Saccharomyces cerevisiae S288C: one gene and its partners. Changing the gene in region 4 together with the main gene of any one other region gives a genetic interaction. Each region holds a gene or a part of one and is shown on either strand. Other genes may lie near its edges. The genes, in order: BBC1, AIP1, SAC6 and CAP2.

Evidence for each region.
Region 1: mutations in CAP2 (region 4) and BBC1 together harm fitness more than expected from each alone (negative genetic interaction), as found in Saccharomyces cerevisiae (4 studies listed by BioGRID, with this or other methods).
Region 2: mutations in CAP2 (region 4) and AIP1 together harm fitness more than expected from each alone (negative genetic interaction), as found in Saccharomyces cerevisiae (6 studies listed by BioGRID, with this or other methods).
Region 3: mutations in CAP2 (region 4) and SAC6 are lethal when combined (synthetic lethality), as found in Saccharomyces cerevisiae (4 studies listed by BioGRID, with this or other methods).

Annotation. Positions count from the first base shown.
Region 1 is NC_001142.9:398,437-404,142, reverse strand, and holds BBC1 (Bbc1p), read left to right. Parts: upstream 1-1,732; coding exon 1,733-5,206; downstream 5,207-5,706. Other genes in the region: MPS3 (Mps3p), read right to left, coding at 1-1,246. UniProt on the Saccharomyces cerevisiae protein: Involved in the regulation of actin cytoskeleton.
Region 2 is NC_001145.3:450,060-455,931, forward strand, and holds AIP1 (Aip1p), read right to left. Parts: upstream 3,421-5,872; coding exon 1,573-3,420; downstream 1-1,572. Other genes in the region: NPL6 (Npl6p), read right to left, coding at 1-1,306; snoRNA-binding rRNA-processing protein UTP15, read left to right, coding at 3,956-5,497; CTF13 (Ctf13p), read left to right, coding at 5,766-5,872.
Region 3 is NC_001136.10:712,109-718,144, forward strand, and holds SAC6 (fimbrin), read right to left. Parts: upstream 3,272-6,036; coding exon 3,251-3,271; intron 3,140-3,250; coding exon 1,232-3,139; downstream 1-1,231. Other genes in the region: MTC5 (Mtc5p), read left to right, coding at 1-887; FIN1 (Fin1p), read right to left, coding at 3,639-4,514; YDR131C (uncharacterized protein), read right to left, coding at 4,682-6,036. UniProt on the Saccharomyces cerevisiae protein: Binds to actin, and functionally associates with actin structures involved in the development and maintenance of cell polarity.
Region 4 is NC_001141.2:288,726-292,039, forward strand, and holds CAP2 (F-actin-capping protein subunit beta), read right to left. Parts: upstream 1,365-3,314; coding exon 501-1,364; downstream 1-500. Other genes in the region: casein kinase 2 catalytic subunit CKA1, read right to left, coding at 1-183; cAMP-dependent protein kinase regulatory subunit BCY1, read right to left, coding at 1,694-2,944. UniProt on the Saccharomyces cerevisiae protein: F-actin-capping proteins bind in a Ca(2+)-independent manner to the fast growing ends of actin filaments (barbed end) thereby blocking the exchange of subunits at these ends.

The DNA of each region.
Region 1 (5,706 bases), on a different chromosome or scaffold from region 4:
TCATTAATATGCTCGAATACTGCTGTGGCACGTTAGAATAATCCTGTTGAACCTGCTGCTGCTGCTGCTGCTGCTGTGTCTCTAACCTATTTGTGATCTCTTCCCAAATCTCCTGTTTGTTAGATTGCAACCTTCTGTTCATTTCTTGGATGAAATAATCCTTATCGATATATTGCAACTCATTCGAAAGAATTTCCTTTACATAGCGATTCAAATCATACTCCCAACGACTTTCAGCGCTTCCAGCAGTACCAATGCCTGGAGACTCAATAACGTCTGAAATCAAAGCACTCAAATAATTGTGCAATTCAGGGATTATTAAAAGCGACGAAGAATTATTAATTACAACGGGTATTTCTTGAGGGAGGTGTGTATCCAACTGTTTTACCAGTTGATCTTGCCATTGAGTAACATTCTCGACCGTAAATTTGTGATTTCGCCTCTGTAACTCACTCATGGAAGTTGAAATTGTCTCAACCTGTTTTGTCAGCGAGTTAATGTCATTTTCAAAATTAACCAAATTTGAGGGTAAAAGTCTTTTAATATTCTTTTCAAATTGAGAGACAATGATTTTTACTGTTTTATCCAATTCTGAACTGTGCTTTTCGTCCCGCTTACTCAACTCACTATATAAATGATTCACCTGTTTTTGTAGGTTGCTGAATGATTTGCCTGGAGAGGATGTAGCGCCGGATGAATGGCTTTCTAAATCATTATTTTTCACGGTTGTCATCAAAAAAGATCCAAAAAAATAAAAAACGAAGAAAAGGCCTCCATAGAAAATGTACGTCCGCCACTTCAACTTCTTAGCTTCACCTGAACTTTCCAAGTTCTCTTCAAAGTCAGAATTACTTTCCAAATCGTAGCTGTCGGAATCGCTGTCTTCTATAAAACTCTTGTCTGCCTCATCTGTATAGTCCTCGTCGCTATATCCGTCGGTCTCTTGTCCATTATCCTCAATGTACGGATCATCATCGTCGTCATCATTATGTTGGTCTAACGGAAAATCAAGATTTTTTTTGAACATTTCGTACGCGGAATCATTCTCTTTATCCATATCATAGTTGTCAGTTTCACCGCCATCGGTGTATATCCCTTTTTTGATGGCTCGTAGGCTAATCTCCTGTTCCCTATTCATTTTGTCCTTGAGGACATCTGCATACGCGGACTTTACAGCCTTATTGTAAGGCATTTGTTCATTAGCCGCTCCTGCCTCTTCCCGCCTATGCTCATTTGAGTTATTCATTTCCAGCACTTCCAGGATAAAAGTTACTACCAACTGAAAACAAGAGAAACCGCCGTGAAACTATGGAGCACTACAGTTAAAACACCACTAACTCCACTCTGTTGACTTTTATCTGTAACTCCTCATGACAACCTTGTTGATAATTATCTCAAGATGACGATATTTACATTGTCATTATATTCCATTTTCGCGTCTCATATGTTACCCGTATCAAAGAGTATAACCCTATCAATAAGTGATGTGTATCATTTATAAACCTCATATTTTAAGAATAAACCTATATAATATAGGAATATACCCTGAAAATAGTTAGAGGTCTACAATGCCCCTATTTTACCTCCAGAATTATAATCTCCTTAAGACTTCAACTAGAAGTGGTATTTACTAGCACACTGTGAAACAGTAGCGTCAAGTCGGTAGTAAACATCAATCGCGTCCCAACTGCAAGAGCTACTAGAAGTAAACACAGTCTTACCCAAACTAAGGATGAGTGAACCCGAAGTGCCCTTCAAGGTGGTGGCTCAGTTCCCATACAAGTCCGATTACGAGGACGATTTAAATTTTGAAAAAGATCAAGAGATTATTGTTACGTCTGTTGAAGACGCCGAATGGTACTTTGGTGAATACCAGGATTCAAATGGCGACGTTATTGAGGGTATCTTCCCGAAAAGTTTTGTTGCTGTTCAGGGATCTGAAGTTGGAAAGGAAGCCGAATCATCTCCGAATACCGGTTCCACTGAGCAACGTACAATCCAGCCGGAAGTAGAACAAAAGGACCTACCAGAGCCCATTTCCCCTGAAACGAAGAAAGAAACTCTGTCCGGGCCAGTGCCAGTTCCAGCCGCTACAGTGCCAGTTCCAGCCGCTACAGTGCCAGTTCCAGCCGCTACAGCAGTATCAGCACAGGTCCAGCATGATAGTAGTAGTGGTAATGGCGAAAGAAAAGTTCCCATGGATTCTCCAAAATTGAAGGCTCGCTTATCTATGTTTAATCAAGATATAACGGAGCAAGTTCCTTTACCAAAATCAACTCACTTGGATTTAGAAAACATACCTGTGAAAAAAACAATTGTGGCAGATGCTCCTAAATACTATGTCCCCCCTGGAATTCCAACAAATGATACGTCCAATCTTGAAAGGAAAAAGTCCCTAAAGGAAAACGAAAAAAAGATTGTTCCCGAACCAATTAATCGTGCACAGGTGGAAAGTGGAAGAATAGAAACTGAGAATGACCAATTAAAGAAGGATTTGCCCCAGATGAGCCTTAAAGAAAGAATTGCTCTTTTACAGGAGCAACAAAGATTACAGGCTGCAAGAGAAGAAGAACTCTTGAGAAAAAAGGCTAAGCTCGAACAAGAACATGAACGTAGTGCGGTTAACAAGAATGAGCCCTATACGGAAACTGAAGAAGCAGAAGAAAATGAAAAAACTGAACCGAAACCTGAATTTACGCCTGAAACTGAGCACAACGAGGAACCGCAAATGGAATTATTGGCACATAAAGAGATTACTAAAACCTCACGCGAAGCAGATGAAGGCACGAATGACATAGAGAAAGAACAATTTTTAGATGAGTACACAAAGGAAAATCAGAAAGTTGAGGAGTCACAAGCAGACGAGGCAAGAGGAGAAAATGTTGCTGAGGAAAGCGAAATAGGTTACGGCCATGAAGACAGAGAGGGAGATAATGATGAGGAAAAAGAAGAGGAAGATAGTGAAGAGAATCGTAGGGCCGCATTGAGAGAAAGAATGGCTAAACTATCTGGCGCTAGTAGATTCGGTGCTCCTGTTGGTTTTAACCCCTTCGGTATGGCTTCTGGAGTTGGAAATAAACCATCAGAAGAGCCGAAAAAGAAACAGCATAAGGAGAAGGAGGAGGAGGAACCTGAACAGCTCCAAGAACTACCTCGTGCCATACCTGTTATGCCATTTGTTGACCCAAGTTCTAACCCATTTTTTAGGAAATCAAATCTAAGTGAGAAGAATCAACCCACTGAAACAAAGACGCTAGATCCTCATGCAACCACAGAGCATGAACAGAAGCAAGAACATGGTACACACGCCTATCACAATTTAGCTGCTGTTGATAATGCACATCCCGAATACTCTGACCATGATTCTGATGAAGATACTGACGACCACGAGTTTGAGGATGCAAACGATGGGTTGAGAAAGCATTCGATGGTGGAGCAAGCTTTTCAGATAGGTAATAATGAGTCAGAGAATGTTAATTCCGGAGAAAAAATTTACCCTCAAGAACCACCAATCTCCCACCGTACTGCAGAAGTATCACATGATATTGAAAATTCATCACAAAACACAACTGGAAATGTTTTGCCTGTCTCTTCCCCACAAACAAGAGTTGCTCGCAACGGGTCGATAAATTCTTTGACTAAATCCATTTCAGGGGAAAATCGGCGGAAATCCATAAACGAGTATCATGATACAGTTTCCACTAATTCATCTGCATTAACAGAAACCGCTCAAGATATTTCGATGGCAGCTCCAGCAGCTCCAGTTCTAAGTAAGGTGTCACATCCTGAGGACAAGGTGCCACCTCACCCAGTGCCTTCTGCACCCTCTGCACCTCCAGTACCCTCTGCACCTTCAGTACCCTCTGCACCTCCAGTACCTCCAGCACCTCCAGCACTCTCTGCACCTTCAGTACCCCCAGTACCCCCAGTACCTCCAGTATCTTCAGCACCTCCAGCACTCTCAGCACCTTCAATACCTCCAGTACCTCCAACACCTCCAGCACCTCCAGCACCTCCAGCGCCTCTTGCGCTGCCTAAACACAATGAAGTAGAAGAACATGTCAAGTCATCTGCTCCCCTTCCACCTGTATCCGAGGAATATCATCCTATGCCAAATACTGCTCCGCCACTTCCACGTGCACCACCAGTACCACCGGCTACTTTTGAATTTGACTCTGAACCAACAGCCACTCATTCACATACAGCTCCTTCTCCTCCACCACATCAAAATGTCACGGCCTCTACACCTTCAATGATGAGTACGCAACAACGTGTGCCAACCTCAGTACTATCTGGGGCAGAAAAAGAATCACGAACCCTACCGCCCCATGTGCCTTCATTGACGAATCGTCCTGTGGATTCATTCCATGAGTCAGATACTACACCGAAGGTGGCCTCTATAAGAAGGTCAACGACGCATGATGTAGGCGAGATTTCCAACAACGTCAAGATAGAGTTTAATGCACAAGAAAGATGGTGGATTAATAAAAGCGCACCTCCTGCTATAAGCAATCTGAAGTTGAACTTTTTGATGGAGATCGATGATCATTTCATTTCCAAAAGATTACATCAAAAATGGGTGGTAAGGGATTTTTACTTCTTGTTTGAAAACTATTCGCAACTAAGATTCTCCTTGACCTTTAATAGTACAAGCCCAGAGAAAACGGTAACGACTCTTCAAGAACGCTTTCCATCGCCAGTCGAAACACAATCAGCACGTATTCTTGATGAATACGCTCAAAGGTTTAATGCGAAAGTTGTAGAGAAATCTCATTCATTGATAAATTCACATATTGGGGCTAAGAATTTCGTGTCACAAATTGTATCCGAATTCAAAGACGAAGTTATACAACCCATAGGAGCAAGAACGTTTGGCGCAACTATATTGAGTTATAAACCTGAAGAAGGAATCGAACAGTTGATGAAGAGCTTACAGAAGATTAAACCAGGTGACATTCTTGTAATTAGAAAGGCCAAATTTGAAGCTCATAAAAAGATCGGAAAAAACGAAATTATCAACGTTGGAATGGACTCCGCCGCTCCGTATTCGAGTGTTGTTACTGATTATGATTTTACAAAGAATAAGTTTAGAGTTATCGAAAATCACGAGGGAAAGATTATTCAAAACAGCTACAAGCTAAGCCATATGAAAAGTGGGAAGTTAAAGGTTTTCAGAATTGTTGCGAGAGGATACGTAGGTTGGTAATTTACCCAATGCTTCCAAGGGGAAATTGTGAATGCTTTCGATTTCATCATTTTCCTTTCGCATTTTCTTATCGTTATAGTTTAAGTGTATATTTTCATAACTCTTCTACAGAAGAAACTATACAAAGATTAAACAACCGTTTTTGTATCAGGTCTTATTTGAGCGGCTCAAAACGAAAGGTAGGATTCACTTATCTTACCGCCGTCAATAGTATCCCAAGTTGTACCTTTTCGTATATACCTACAATTCTGGCTTCAGACGCAGTAATTTTTGAGCAATCGTAACAAACGGTTTGCCCCTAGAGTTTGAATTTTTCTTCATCACTCCATGATAGTGCTCTCATATATTATCTTACGGAAATTAATCCAATATAGGTGCCCAAAGGTTGAAATTAATACGAACTTTGACCTGGCCTTAATTATCGATTCTAATACTATCTGAGTTTAAAGAACTTGCGGGGAAGAAATACGGAAAACATAGAAAGGCGATGGCAGATGAAG
Region 2 (5,872 bases), on a different chromosome or scaffold from region 4:
AAATATATTCGTTGCATTTTTCGAAATTTTGTTGTTCGGTGATAGCCCTTAAAACGTCTTCATCAACAACGTCTTCATAGATCTCTTTCGGGATTTCCGACAGTCCCGTTTTCGGTTTATTCAAATCGTTATCGTGTATAACGGTCTCATACACAATGCTTGTGTCGCTGGGACTATCGTTTTTTGATCTCCTCCATCCTAAAACAGTGGTTGACTGTGTGGATTCTGGTATGTGTAATATATTTGTGTATGCATCTCTCAAGCCTTGTTGATCTACAAGAAGAACCTTCACTCTATCATAAAACAAATCGCTATTAAATCTACTACACGCAGCAGAATGCTGATAGAGCCAATTTGTAGAGCTCAGCTTACTACCTGATGCAATAATATTAGAATTACTCATGTGACCATGTGGCCTGTGTTCAAAGAATTCCACCTGGTTTTTTGCAGGGTTTATGCCATTCTCGGAAGCAGGATACATCATGGTTTCTAAGGCCCTTGCGGATTTATCAATAGGATCACCAGCAAGTTTTCCTTCAATTACATTTCCCTTTGTTCTTAATTCAGAAGCATAATAATCATCGGTTATATGTTTGCCGCCACGAATGATTTTAGCACCAAATTCTTTAAACACGCCTCTAGCGGTGACTAGAGCGATTTGTCTATTTCTATATGAATAAGGTAAAACGCCACGGTCTATCAAGTCGTTCTTTTGAGTTTGATTCAGAATGAACTTATAAAGGTTGGGGTGAGTTTGAAAAAATAAATATGAATCTCTAAAACCCACTATCCTAGCCGGTTCGGTGGCCAGCATAAACTTTCGATTCCCCTTCTCAGTTAATGTGAAGGTGCGCACTAAAAATTCTCTGCCTCCTAATAGATCACCATCTGCAGTTATCTTCGTCTCACCTTCAGGATCATCTGGTAGAACATATTCTTCATTGACCACTTTCAAAGGATTTAAGTTCTCCTCAGCATCATCGATTCCGGGAAATACTGGTTTTTTGAACTTTGAACGGTTTCTAGATCTAGTAACGCCTTTATCCTCTGACAAATCCTCTTCTTCGTCCACGTGCCTCCTTTTGTTTCTTCCGCTTTTATTTATCTGTTCCTCCTCATCACTTATTTCTTCTTCATTCACTCCCTCATTGGCTTCTTCTTCTCTGTAATCATCATCTTCATTCTCATCATTTTCATCAATATCTAAATCCTCAGTATCAATTGCATAATTGGGTCTGTTGCTAGTAGATCTTGACCGCTTCTCATGTTCAACTTCGGAAGCTAGACCTCCCTCTGAATCTGACATTTCTGCTAGATGGTATTTCCTTCTTCAAAAGTAAATGTACTGTATTCAGTAATGCTTAAACTTTATAAAGCTGTTTTCTTGCAATATTTTTGTCTGCTCACAGTAACATGTTTAATAGTTCGAACGGGTTTTTTTTTAAAAGAGCGAAGTAATCAAAGCATTCGGGTAATAATTACAAGTTTATATGGACTGTGGTAAAAACAGTGTAAAACTTTTTTATATCTATTTTTCTAAGGTTACGTAATTGTTTACTTTATATTCTTATCTCACTCGAGGACAACATTCCACCTTTTAATGCAAGCGTCCGCACCAGAACTAACCAAGGTAGATGGTGTTTCCCATAAAAGGTTGTTAACACCGTCCTTGTGAGCATTCAACGCCTTAATGATTTTCATAGGTCTTTTGACGGAGTAAATAAAAATATTGGTGTCTAAAGAACCAGTGGCAACTAAGTCCTCTTCAATTTCCTCTTCGTTTGCTCCCTTTTCAGCAGGTTTCCATGAAATGGCGTTGATTTTACTGGTGTGGAAAGCCCATCTTGAAGTTTTCACTTCTCTTGATTGTAAATCATATAGCAATATCTTGCCCATAACATCTCCAGCAGCGATGTATGTTTCAGATGGCGAAATTGATATGTACGAGGGTTTTGCGCGAAGAGGTGTTTTTAAATCAAAACTGACTTCCAAATCTGATAATTTGAATACCTGAATAGTATTACCTTCTTCCAAACCAACTGCAACGTAATTTTGGCTCAAGCTAACGGCAGAGCCTGGTGAGTTCAGTCTTACACTCTTGATTATATCGCCCGTAAAAGACTGTAATATCAACAAATCATCATCATTTGTTAGTACTGCAGTGAAGCCATCATTGTTCGCACTAGCAACCTTTGGTTGCGATCCAAATTCATGCTTAGTAATACCGTTCACTTTCAAAGTATCATCCCAAGAAATACTGGAGTATTCTTGCGCTTTACTATTATCCAATGATACAATCAAGTTGGAGTGATCTTGGTGCATGGAAGAGCTAGACCATTCCATAATCCTACCATCATATGACCCACTGATTAGTGGGTTGACTGTCAAAGCAGTAATACCCTTGTTATGACCACTAATGGTTTTTAAAACCTCGTCATGTCCAAGTTCATAGAAGTTTAAGGTCCCATCCAGTGAAAGAGAAATAATCCTTCCGTTTCCTGTTGCAACAACACCAACTTGTTGATTTCCCAGTTGTTGCTTGTCTAAGGTCCATTTTTGAACGCATTTTGAAGTCGTGACGTCCCAAACCCTAATGGTAGCGTCTGCTCCTACGGTAGCAAACTTTTGGGAATCAAGCCACGATAGTGCAAATATACCACCTTGAACTGGTTCTTGATCATCCTCTATGTATTTAAGAAACTCACCTGATTTGCCATCAAAGCAAGAAATCTTTCTGTCAGACCCTACCGTAATAACAAATTCACCGCTGTCAGGTGAAAATTCAACATCCCTGACAAATGAGCCTTGTTTGTGGTGTGTTCTGTCACTGGCAGAGAACTTAAATGGAGGTCCTTGATAAAAGACAACAGATCCATCATCTCCAACTGTCATAGATCTCATAGGTCTAGATTGCTTCAAATGACAAGCATTGATGCGTTGTGAGTGACCTGAAACTTCACCTAAGGAATTACCAGAATCCCAGGATATGAAAACACCAAAGTTATCACGACCTTCTCCCACAACGCAGAGTCTTCGCCCTTCAAAATCCCAGGAGATATCGCTGATTGGACCTGCTAAAACTTGGAATTCAGACTTAACATTCACTTCAACAGAATTGCTTTCTTTGTCAAATGTCCATCCCCAAACAATCACTTTTCCAGATTCGTCACCGGAGCATAGGTACTGGGAACCCTTAATTGGAGAGAACTTTACCGTTGTGACTACCGAAGAGCCATGACCAGTAAATTGTACTACTGGAGGTACTTTACTGTCTCCATCGTCCAAACAACGTACAAATGCAGATTTTCCACATGGGTAAGCAATTGCGTTGGTTGTAGGGTCATACGATAAATGCGTAGTAAAGTTACGCTGTGTCGAAGGCTGAGGTGGTATAATTTCCTTCAAAGAGATAGATGACATTATTTTTGTTTACTTTGCTACTTTTGCCCGTTAATATACCTTAAAAACTGTATTTGCGAGTTGCAAAAGGCAGAATAGTGCTGAGTTGCTTCCCCTTATAATTAAATAATGATCATTAATCAAAGATCTGACATATATGCCTTCGGTAGAAAAGGTGGCAGGTTACAGGGTGAAAACATCCGTACATCATATACAATTCATTGTTTCGAAAACAAACGAACGGGACACTAGAGACCAATAAAAACGTTTCAGAACGTCTTGGTAGCGTTCAGTTCTGATTATGAACGGAAAGCAATAGCTAGTATTGATACACCTCCAGTTTCTAGTCATTCACCCCAAGTAAGCATAATATTTAACGTTCTGTGACCTACATACCTCGTAATTAGTGATAATTATCTTTTGAAAATTTTTGGAATAACTGAAAAATTTTGAAAACTTTCGAGCTTTGAAGAAAAAACGATGCCCATCACTAATAGAAGTCCCTTGAAACAGTTTTTGCTAAGAACAGGCCTAAGGATCATAATATAGAAATAAAATGTCGACTGCTAGGCCTAGAATAATCACTTCGAAGGCTCCATTATTGCCTCAACAGACTACCCCGGAGCAGCGTTACTGGCGTCAATACACTTCCGCACAACTGGTTAAAGAACATAATAGCGTTACTCACATATCATTCAATCCTCAACATCCTCATGATTTTGCAGTAACTTCCTCAACCAGAGTTCAAATATTTTCTTCAAGAACTAGGCAAGTGATCAAGACCTTTTCAAGATTTAAAGATGTTGTCTATTCTGCATCCTTTAGGAGTGATGGTAAATTGCTTTGTGCCGGTGATGCTACCGGTTTAGTGTCTGTATACGACAGTTATAATCCCAGGACTATCCTTTTATCTATAAACGCTTCCACACATCCCACACATGTTACGAAATTCCATACGCAAGATAACAAAATTCTGGCTACGGCGAGTGACGATAGAGTGACAAGACTTTGGGATATATCCAACGCATATGAGCCACAATTAGAGCTCACCGGAGCTACTGACTATGTTCGTACCTTATCATTTATCCCAGCAGCCCCACATTTGGTTGCAACAGGCTCATACGACGGTTTGATCAGATTATATGACACAAGATCTAGCGGATCCACGCCAATTTATTCTCTGAATCATGACCAACCTGTTGAAAATGTTATTGCAGTATCTCCAACCCAAATTGTTTCTTGCGGTGGCAATAATTTCAAAGTGTGGGACTTGACCAGTAACAAGAAATTATACGAACGTGGCAATTTCAATAAGGCTGTGACATGCTTGGACTATGTTGAAAATTTTGATTCTCCAATGCAATCGGCGTTGATCGCTTCTTCCTTAGATGGTCATGTCAAAGTCTTTGATCCTTTAGACAATTTCCAAGTCAAATTTGGCTGGAAATTTTCGGGTCCCGTACTAAGTTGTGCTGTCTCCCCTAGTACCGCACAAGGGAATAGGCATTTAGTAGCAGGTTTATCATCAGGACTACTAGCCATTAGAACTAAAAAGAAAGAGAAACGTTCTTCCGATAAAGAAAACGCACCCGCCAGTTTTAATAAGAATGCGAAAAGTAATAACTTCCAGAGAATGATGCGAGGCTCGGAATACCAAGGTGATCAAGAGCATATAATCCACAATGATAAGGTAAGATCTCAACGTCGTATGCGTGCATTCGAAAGGAACATAAATCAGTTTAAATGGAGCGAAGCACTCGACAATGCCTTTGTACCAGGTATGGCCAAAGAGTTGACACTTACTGTTCTTCAAGAACTACGCAAACGTGGCAAAGTTCGTGTAGCGCTATATGGTAGAGATGAATCTACATTAGAGCCGCTACTGAATTGGTGCTTAAAAGGTATTGAAGATGTGAGATCAGCATCTATTGTAGCGGATTGGGTCGCCGTGGTTTTAGAATTATATGGGAATACGTTAGAAAGCTCTCCAGTTCTTCAAGAATTGATGATAGATTTGAAAACTAAAGTTAGACATGAAATTCATAAGTCTAAAGAAGCTCAAAGAATTGAAGGTATGCTTCAACTTTTAACGAGTTAAGGAAATATTAGCATATAGATTTTAATTTGTATCTATTTTATAGATATTCAGGCATACATATATATCTCTTTCTCATTGTAATCGAAAAAAATAATATCTTCTCTTTTTATTGAAAAAAGGAACCTGTATAAATTTCATTTTAGAGTGCTTTGCATTTTGATACGTTTTCGCGTTTAACTACCTTCGAGGGCTTGAAAACAAAACATTGTGAGATGAGATGCTATCAACAGAAAGCTGACTGTGAGTCCCCAGAAGTCCATGTCGCTTGATGCCTTCTTTCAATCCTGTTAGATTCTTAGAGTTACCAATTGACATTAGAAAAGAAGTTTACTTCCATTTAGATGGTAATTTTTGCGGAGCACATCCCTACCCAAT
Region 3 (6,036 bases), on a different chromosome or scaffold from region 4:
TCATAAAGGAAGCGATTGTCTACTTTGAGAGGCAACAAAATTTACAGATGCTGGCCATGTTATGCTGTGTCATATTAAGCGCCAGGAGAAAAAAGATTCCAGCCAGATATTATGGGCAAGAATTAGAGAATATGGAAGGAACCATTGTGTTTAATGACAACGAAAGTCAAAACACATCATTTTGGAAAGGATCTGATGCTTTTTCCACCAGGTCTAGGAGTAGCACTGTTACACCAAATTTTTATGGTAATCATTTGAGAGGAAAAAACATTCATGGAGGAGACAACTCCTCAATAAGGTCCGACGACCACCACGCTAGGTTAAGGACGCACAACACTCTTAATGGTAGTAGTAAATTTACGGAGCCGGCCCAAAAGCAGGGCAGCCGTGCCATTTCATCCAGCCCTTTTCATAGTAGAATGCCTGACATCAAAGTCGAGCTTTTACATGACGATATTATAGAAGCTTATGAACAAGAAGACCTCTTACATTTAGAGGTATCAGACATACCAAAGTTCCAAACTTATATTTATCAATATTCAAAGTTACTTTTTAGATGGGGACTGCCTTTAGAAAGGGTCAAAATTCTAAAAGTTAGTACTGATTTCAGAAGTTCTTATAGTTCCCAAGGCATCCCCCCTAACAATAACAAGAAAAGTCCTTACAATGGTGTACTTACGCACTGGATCGAGAACAACGAGTTTGGAGAAGAAAAATTCCTAGCCCGAAATTGTAATTACTGTGATTTAAGAGTGACAAGAAGTAGCTTCATATGTGGAAATTGTCAACATGTTTTACACTCTTCGTGCGCGAGGATATGGTGGGAGATTGGTGATGAGTGCCCATCTGGATGTGGGTGCAATTGTCCGGAAATGTTCGATGCCTAAAAGCTTAACTATCACGTACATTTTCTGCATATTTCAAAGAACCTTGGATGTATATGAAAAAAAGTTCACAGGATATATGGCTTAATAAGTAGTTTATTTACGATTTTTTAATCCAGTAGAGGCATGATAGAAGACGACAACGGAATCATTGAGCGTTGGAGGCATTTTTACAATGGCTCAGTAATCACGAATAAAAGTAGGTGGAAGTTGAAATCTATTATTACATATTAAAAACTTCAGAAATACTTGAGGCTATATATTGTTGTACACTTAACCAATCGTATAACGGAGCATTGGAACAAGAAAGCTGAGTAGAAAACAGGTTACGAAAGTTGTTTGTTGGCTCATTTGTTCAAAGTCATTAACGAAGCGATAAAAGTAATAATTAATCTTGCACGAACTTCGTTGATATCTTCTGGCACCAACCAAATCAAAGCACCCAACTTTCTAGCAATAGAAATAGCCAATCTTGCGTTTGCGTACCTTTCTTCCTCGGTGTTACCAGGGGTGACTAGATCATAATCAACATAGCCCGGCGCGATACCATTCAGAACATCCAATAAGAAGTGGGCGTTTGATAAAGCTTGGTCCTTAAATGATCTAATGGTAGAGTTTTTACCACCTTTAGTTACCTGGTCTTGGGCCCACTTTAATATTTGAGAATCACTCATGTCTCTACCACTTGAGGATAATGTCTTCATGGTTATCGAAATATTTCTACGCATCAATTGCCACACTAACCCTAAGGTCAGTAATTTGTTACCATCTACAATATCAGATCCTTCGATACCAACCAAAGAAAATCCTTTGGCTCTGCCCAAGTCGACTGCATAGTTGGTGTTTTCTAAGGCTTTGAATCTGGATATCTCTGCACCCGAGGCCGGTCTTTTGTTGACATGTTTAAAATCAACAGCACCGGGCATCACCTTTTCGTAAGCTTGCAATAATATCAAACCATCCTTCAAATCATCAAACAGCGAAATGACAGGTGGATCAACGTCAAGAGAGTTCAACCATAAGGTAAAGACTCTTGCCTCTCTCTCACCTTCGGCGTCAAATTCTTCAATTTCAGGCTTTTCCTCTTCCTGAATAGGCTCTAATCCAGGATGTGTATTGAATAGATGTGCCACGAAAGCCAGGTTTAATTTAGGGTTCCCCGCAACTAATGAACTTGGGGTTAAATACTTTCTACAATCTAGCTTTTCAGCATTTTGTAAAACTTGCTCAGCTCTCTCCATTAAATCTGTGGTTTGTAATGGTGCCTTAGAACACAAGGCGGGGTCCAACTGGTTCAACAAGATAGTATAGTTTTCACCATCAGACACGTCTTTTGAAAAATTGGTAACCCTTCTGTTCCAGTTTGCTTGCTTCAAATGGTAGTTAAACCAACGTAGTAGAATTTGCTCCGGAGGCAACCTCAAAAATTGCTCCAACGTTTCATCATCCTCCAATAGACGGTATAACTCAGGATGCAGCTTAATATCAATTTTACTTAACAAACCTCTCCTAATAATTTGCCAAATCAAACCCAGGATCAAATGCTCTCTACCTTCAATAATGTCCTCGGAATGAACATTAACAACGACACAACCAATGGCTTTTGCAGAATTAATAACAATATTAGCATTTTCACTAGCCTGAAAATTATTCAATTCCTTACCCTTCTTAGGCCAATTCAAAACTCTTGTATCGATAGTATCAGGAACAGAGTCGTTGATCAACTTAGATAGCACCAACCCATCCCTACATTCATCAAATAATTGGAAAGTATCAGTAGGAAATGGAAGCAAATCACCTATATCTTGGTCTCCCGCCAAGACGCTATTGATATGTTTAGTAAATTCACGTCTTTCTTCTTCATTGATGGTATGTGTAGTACCTGTTTGGGAGCCAGCAACAATAATCTTGGCTTGAGTACCCTTACCCTTGTGCTGTAGTCCTGTGGCAGCAGTGGAAACAATAGGGGTTGAGTTAGGTGCTACGTTGAAAGTGGTCTGTGGAGCAGCTCCTGTTTTAGATTCTCTTAATTTTGCAACCAACCCGACGTAATCGTCCAGTTCAACACGGCCTGACGCATCCACACCCACATGCTTCAGGGTTTCTCTTGCTTCGTCATAAGTAGCATCACCATCTTTGGACACCGCTTCTAGAGCTTGCTGTTTTTCAACCCATCCTTTATCATCTAAGTCAATGGCTCTGAACTTTTCAATTGTGGAAAAAAGATCCTCTTGAGTCAAAATTGGAAATTTTCTCTAATCGCAGAAGAGTTTGTTAGTATATGAAACGTTTATTACAACCTAAAAGGTAGAAAAAACTTTTTCACTGTGCTCAGCAGTGTGGGAATTCGAGAAAGGCATACATACTTGTAATTTGACAATATTCATTGTGTTTTGGTGTACTCCTTAGGGCTAATATATCAGCTTCTTCTCTGATAATTTTAGTGTAAAGAGCTTTCTTGTTCTCCTGAAATAACCAAAATTTATATCGATAAATCTTCATTATAAACTTCGCCCCGTACTTTTGATATTTTTCCGCCTCCCGAGGAGTGCTTTTTCACATGAAGGCCATCGGGAACAAGAAGAAAAGCCGTTCACGTAAGAAAATAGGACCCTATATCCGGTCAGGATCACTCAAGCTGTATGTAAATGTAATATAGACAAAGCACCTTTAACTGCTAAGAATTAATTATAGTGTCGGAAATATAACATAACTTGCTTACTTCCTGTGTAAAAAATGTGAGAAGGGATATGATTACTTATGTTTCGGTATTTCCGTGAGTTGAAGTTCGATATTGGATAATCTTGATTCAATCTCTCGCTGTCTTCTCAACATTTGTAGTAGCAAGTCCTTTATTTCTTTAAGTTCCACGGTTTCTTCAGTCACTATATTATCAGGTAGTTTAAATTTTACACTTTTCTGGAAACTAGCTTTGTGTATCTTACCTTCGTTCGCCAGCATGGAATTCAGTTTAGTGTTCGATTTAGTAAGGGATTCTATGCCATTTCCCACGTCTTCCTCTTCTTTCTTGAGTTCAACTAATAAATTCTTCCCTTTCAATTTAGCTCGAGGAAGGTCATTCTCAAATGGGGCGTCCTTGAGCTCAGTATTAGAACAGAGGTCAGTGTTGCTTTTGGCATCCGATGGGAGAATATGTTGCTGCTGTTGCTGCTGTATCCTTTCAGGTGACATGAGTCCATTCTTAAACCGGGCCCGTATTCTCGTTAACGAACCATCACCCCCGATTTTATTTTCATTACTGAATGTCAGTTTGGTTGGTGATGTAGGGAATATTATATTAGTTATATGATCTGAGTTTTGGATCTTCACATTTTTATTCGAATTTTTGAACTGAGGCCTATCCAGGCTTTGAGTTTCCTTAGAGACATAGCCCTTCAGACATTCCGGCGACATAATCCTTCTTGGTGTTACTTGTATACTATGCTTCATTCCATCTGTCTTGTTAGGTGATATCCTCATAGGTGGTTTCAAAAACTCTTTTTGGCTTGTCGTCCTCAAAGGGGACATACTCAATCTCACAAAGACATTGTCCTTGTCACTTGGTATATTATTTCGACCAATCGTATTCCCTATGTCACGTAAACTCCTGCGGTTGCTTTTATTGCTCATAATTTGTTTTATTGAACTATGTCACATCACTGCAATCCAGTGAGAACACTGAGAAAGCTCTAACTAGACTATACAATCCATTTGTTTTGATTTCCTCTTGTTGACAATTTGCAGTATTTAGAGTATATATCATTATGTACGTGTTATAACCGCCATGTCTCACAGTATCAACTAAATAGAGCTTCTGCGTCCACCAATTCATAAACAGAGTTGCTTTTATAGCCATTATTATAGAAGAGGGGAACCGCGCATCGTTGTAACTCGTCCACTTGTATTATTTTTGTAGGTATACCGTTGATGGTTAGATATTCTAAGTTCGGCAAACTTTGCTCAAAAACTTTAAATACGTCTTTTAGATAATGAAGGTATAAGTGGTACAAACTAATGGCATCTTCTCTAGTAATTTTATTCACTGTAATATTCTCAGTATTTTCTATGGTGCTTTGCAGATTTTCATTGAACTTTCGTACAAACGTTTCAATAGGTACAGAATCCCATCCCATCGCAGGTGATTCGTTGTCAATAATGTTTGTATAGGGCATGATCTTGTTCTCGAAAAACATTTGGTAAAAGAAATTATGGGCTTGGAACTTATTTGGGTTCTTTAAAAGTTTTGACCGGGTTTCAGGAAAGATTTTTTTTAGAATGACCTCGTGAATTGTATTTTTGCAAGTTGAACAAGGGCAGAAACCATCGAAATTCAAGCGAGTTAGTGGGTTATCTGTCATGGGAAAAAAAAGCCTGTGATTTAGTTGGCAGTGTATGTCAAAACGCTGTAATTTTTTGCCACACACTTGTTTAGATAAGAAGTTAATCAACGACACATCGAAGTCAAATTTACCCATGTAATCAAGTTTCAGTATCTTTAAATTGTGAAACACAGCCAAACAATTCATTAGAAAAAATTCGCTGTAAACCAATGACGCTAATGATAGTTTCTCAATGTTCGGAAATTTCCAAAATCCTTCTAGCCCCCATTTGACATATAACCTGTCAAAACCACCTTCTTCGCCAGAGGGAAAATCGTCGCGACTGTACCAAGACAAAATCTCTAGCTGCCTTAAGGTGGAAGCATCAAATATGTCGATGTATTCTAGCTCTTTTAAGAAGTCATCGGAAGCGTCGTACTCCGCAAGGTTAAGTGTGTCGGGTCGCAAATTTAATACCAATGCTTTGATCTTCATAGGAGACCCGGTATTTTTGAAGTACTTCAATGCGTTTATATGAATGGAAAGTTTTTCTAATCGAGATAGATCGCACTTCAAGAGCAACCGATCAATTTTATTCAAATAAGAACCGCTTACACTGTTATGGGTGGGCATTAACGTTGGTGGCGTTAATGTTAGAGTTTTTAATTGCTTTGATAAAGGTTCTAGCCCCTTGTTAACTGATGAGCGAACAAATTGATCGACAAATTTCAAATTGGATCCATACTCGGATAGCAATTTAAGTACATTTGTCATCACATCTTCATTTAAATGCCATGTACAACGTATTCGATTAATTAAGGGACATAATCTTT
Region 4 (3,314 bases):
GTCTAATTTGACACCTTGGAAAACCTCGGAGTATTTTCCTCGCCCAACTTTATTTTCAATTTCATAGTCCTTTGTATTTGTGGACCAATCAATTACAGTATTTTCATAATCCCAATATTCCTCGGTTCTTTGTTTATTGATATTCGTATAAACACGAGCCTCTGACCATACCCTGCATTTCATAGTTCGAATCAAATATTCCTTCTACAACCCCCTATTTTTGTCTGTATATTTGACTTCTTAAGTCCCTATTCAGAAAACTCCTAGTAGGTAATTGCAATACACCGAGTATCAACAGTATATGAAGTCCCTTAATCCGTTTTACTACAGGACTGCGAGGTTCGTCTAATTGCTACTGAAATTTTCCAAGCGTTGGTCATATTTTTGATTTTTCGCTTTTTCTTCAGTGTTCGTTCCGAGTGATTTTTGATAGCGCTTTTCTACCACTTAGTGCTGCTGTATGTATTTATATGATATACCAGCGATACATGTAAATATTTCTATAAAGACTGTAAACCTCTGATTACCTCTGCCTGTGCGTCTTTATTCGCTTCCTCAGCAGAGGAAGCAATGGCTGCGTTCTTTGTTTGGTGGAAGATATCTCTTGTCTTTTCGAAATAAACAGTTTCCAATAGATTTCTCATCTGAGACTCAATGTCCTCAATTAAGGAACCCAAATTAGCGACATGTGATGTGAAAATAACATCTAATGGACGGGACATATCAATAGCGATGTCCTTTTCGGTCTGTCTTGTCAGGTTCCCGGATAACATCATATGAGAATTCTGGTCAGTTTTTGTTTTGTCCAAGTGCAGAATGATTGTAGTGGTGACTCTATAGTTGAAACTGTCGGGAGAAGAAGGAGATGTTGTAACTTCAAAAACATGGATACTGTCCCAATTACTGTGATCTGATTGGTTTTTTTTGAAAAGCACTACCCCTGCAAAATCGTGCCCATTGAAATCTTCTTCATTGAGGTCCCAGAGGTACACGCTGGAGATACCGCCTTCATAATAGAGATCTCTGTAAACGTCGAAAGAGTCATTGGCTAAGATCTCCAATTTTCTTAAAGGGGCTGAGGGAAAGGGGCTGTCTTGTAGATCCTTTGGGGATAGTTCTGGGTAATAAGTGTTCGACCAAGGCGATCTGAACGAATCAATATCACGATTATAGTCGCAGCATAAGTACTCCCGGTTTGAATCGGCGGAATCTTTCTGTGTGGATAGGGGAACGTCTACTGAAGATAGTAAATCTTGTGCCAAATTTGGTTGTAATTCGATCAAGTTGTTTAGATTCTCCTGTAACGTGGTAGGATTTAGCCTCCTAAGAAGATCTAAAGCAGCATCGAATTGAGCATCAGACATTACGGTGGTGATTGTAGAGTTGGAGAGAGTTTTTGTATGTCACTTGATTGAACAGTTCTCCTTTATTTGTTACAAATGCTCTCATTTTTACGTTTTCCGTGGTGAAAAAAAAAAAAAAAAATGAACATATATACATGTAGTAACAGCAGTAGTAGATGAAGAATTTAGAGTTTAAACAGGTAACATAACGCTATAAGGGAAAGGAAAGTGGAGATGTTATACATTATATTTACGTAGACGTTGAAGGAAGAAGAAAGAAAAAGGGAACAGAAGAAGAAGAAAAAGAGAAAGGAAATTCATGTGGATTTAAGATCGCTTCCCCTTTTTACTTAATGTCTTGTAGGATCATTGAGCTTTAATACGTCTACTGCAGGACCCAGTAAACGTTGAAAACCACTTTTCCCCAATGTGGCAACTTTGGTTCTCTTTGTAGCAGTCACAGTGGCCTGTCTGGGCAAATCGTTTAGCAAGGCCACTTCACCGAAATAATCATGGTCTTTCAGTTTATTTATGACACCTTGGCCCTTCTTAGAGACGTCCACAGCTCCGTACTCAATTAAATAAAAGTTCTCCCCTTGATCACCCTCGCGAATGATTGTTTCACCCGGCTGGTAGATCTTGGTATCCAGTGCATCGGCAAGTTTGGCACGGTCGTACGTAGTCAAACTCTTCAAAACTGGCATGCTCTTCAAAAGATCGTCATACATGAGTCTCTTCTTGAAAGAGCTGCCCAAAAGTATTTTTCTGAAGGTGAGCCTGTCTAGAGCCCACAACAAACAGTCGGAGGTTGCTACAACGGTGGCAGCACGAGGGCTGTTGTACATAAGAGCAAGTTCCCCGAAACTGGAGCCTGGCCCGGAAGAGTTGACCTTGTTGTCGTTGACGTAGAAGTCAACAGTACCCTTTTCGACGACATAGAAGTAGTCCCCTTGGTCACCTTGCTTGATTATCGTAGCACCTTTGGGGACGGACTTCTCCTCCAGACAATTTATGACCAGCCTTTTTGAGTCGGAATCCAGCTTGTTGAACAGAAAGTTATTACGGATCGATTTTTCCAGTCTTTGCAATTGCTGCTCGGACTTTTCCTTATAGTGATCTGGAGTCCAATCGTCAAAATTGTTTGGTTGTAAGGTCTCACCACTAACAGAAGTACGCCTTTGGGCGTTGAAGTGCATTGGGAGTGGAGGAGTTGATGTCTTTTCTCTAGTATGCTGTTGTTCTTCCTGTGCTTGCTGGTGAGTGTCCTGTTCGTGCGGGTCTAAATTAAACCCACTTTTAAACACGTTGGAGTGTGGGTCCTCGTTCACAAAGGGGGATTTGAACATAACACTCGATCTGGATCTTGATTGAGATTGAGCTGATTGAGGTCTGGAAAATGACTCCTCTGGTTCCGGAAATAGAACAATGTTCTTTGCCTTAAATTCAGGCTCCCTGGCCTTGAGGAACGCTCTCTGTTGTTCCAGCCTTTTATTGAAATAGTTGGCGGAGAACTGAAGAAAGTCGGACGGATTAGCGGCGTTGATTTCGTTCTGGAACAGTTGCAATTCGGCTTGCGATTCCTTGGGCAAAGAAGATACCATCGTTTATTCTTACTGTTGTCTTTTGAAAATAATCTGCTTGTTGTAAATGATCTTCCTATTTATGTATGCGTGAAATGCGTGTAATGGATGTGATGATAGCGATCGCTTGACTTAGTCGAGGAAAGCGTAAAGTGTCCCTTTTTCTCTTTCCCTTTTCCCTGTTTGTTCAAATTTTCTCTTTTCTACCTTCCTCTTCGTTTTGCTCCTTGCCAGCAAAACGAGGAAGGACAAGAATTTTGGAGAGCGGCGGCGCGGCGCCATAATAAATGCACTTGAGCAAATGCAATAAGTTCAGCTTATGGCTTCTGCAACAAAGAAGAGGTCGGAATCCGAGCACAGTATAATCAATATATTATCAGGCAGAACAAAA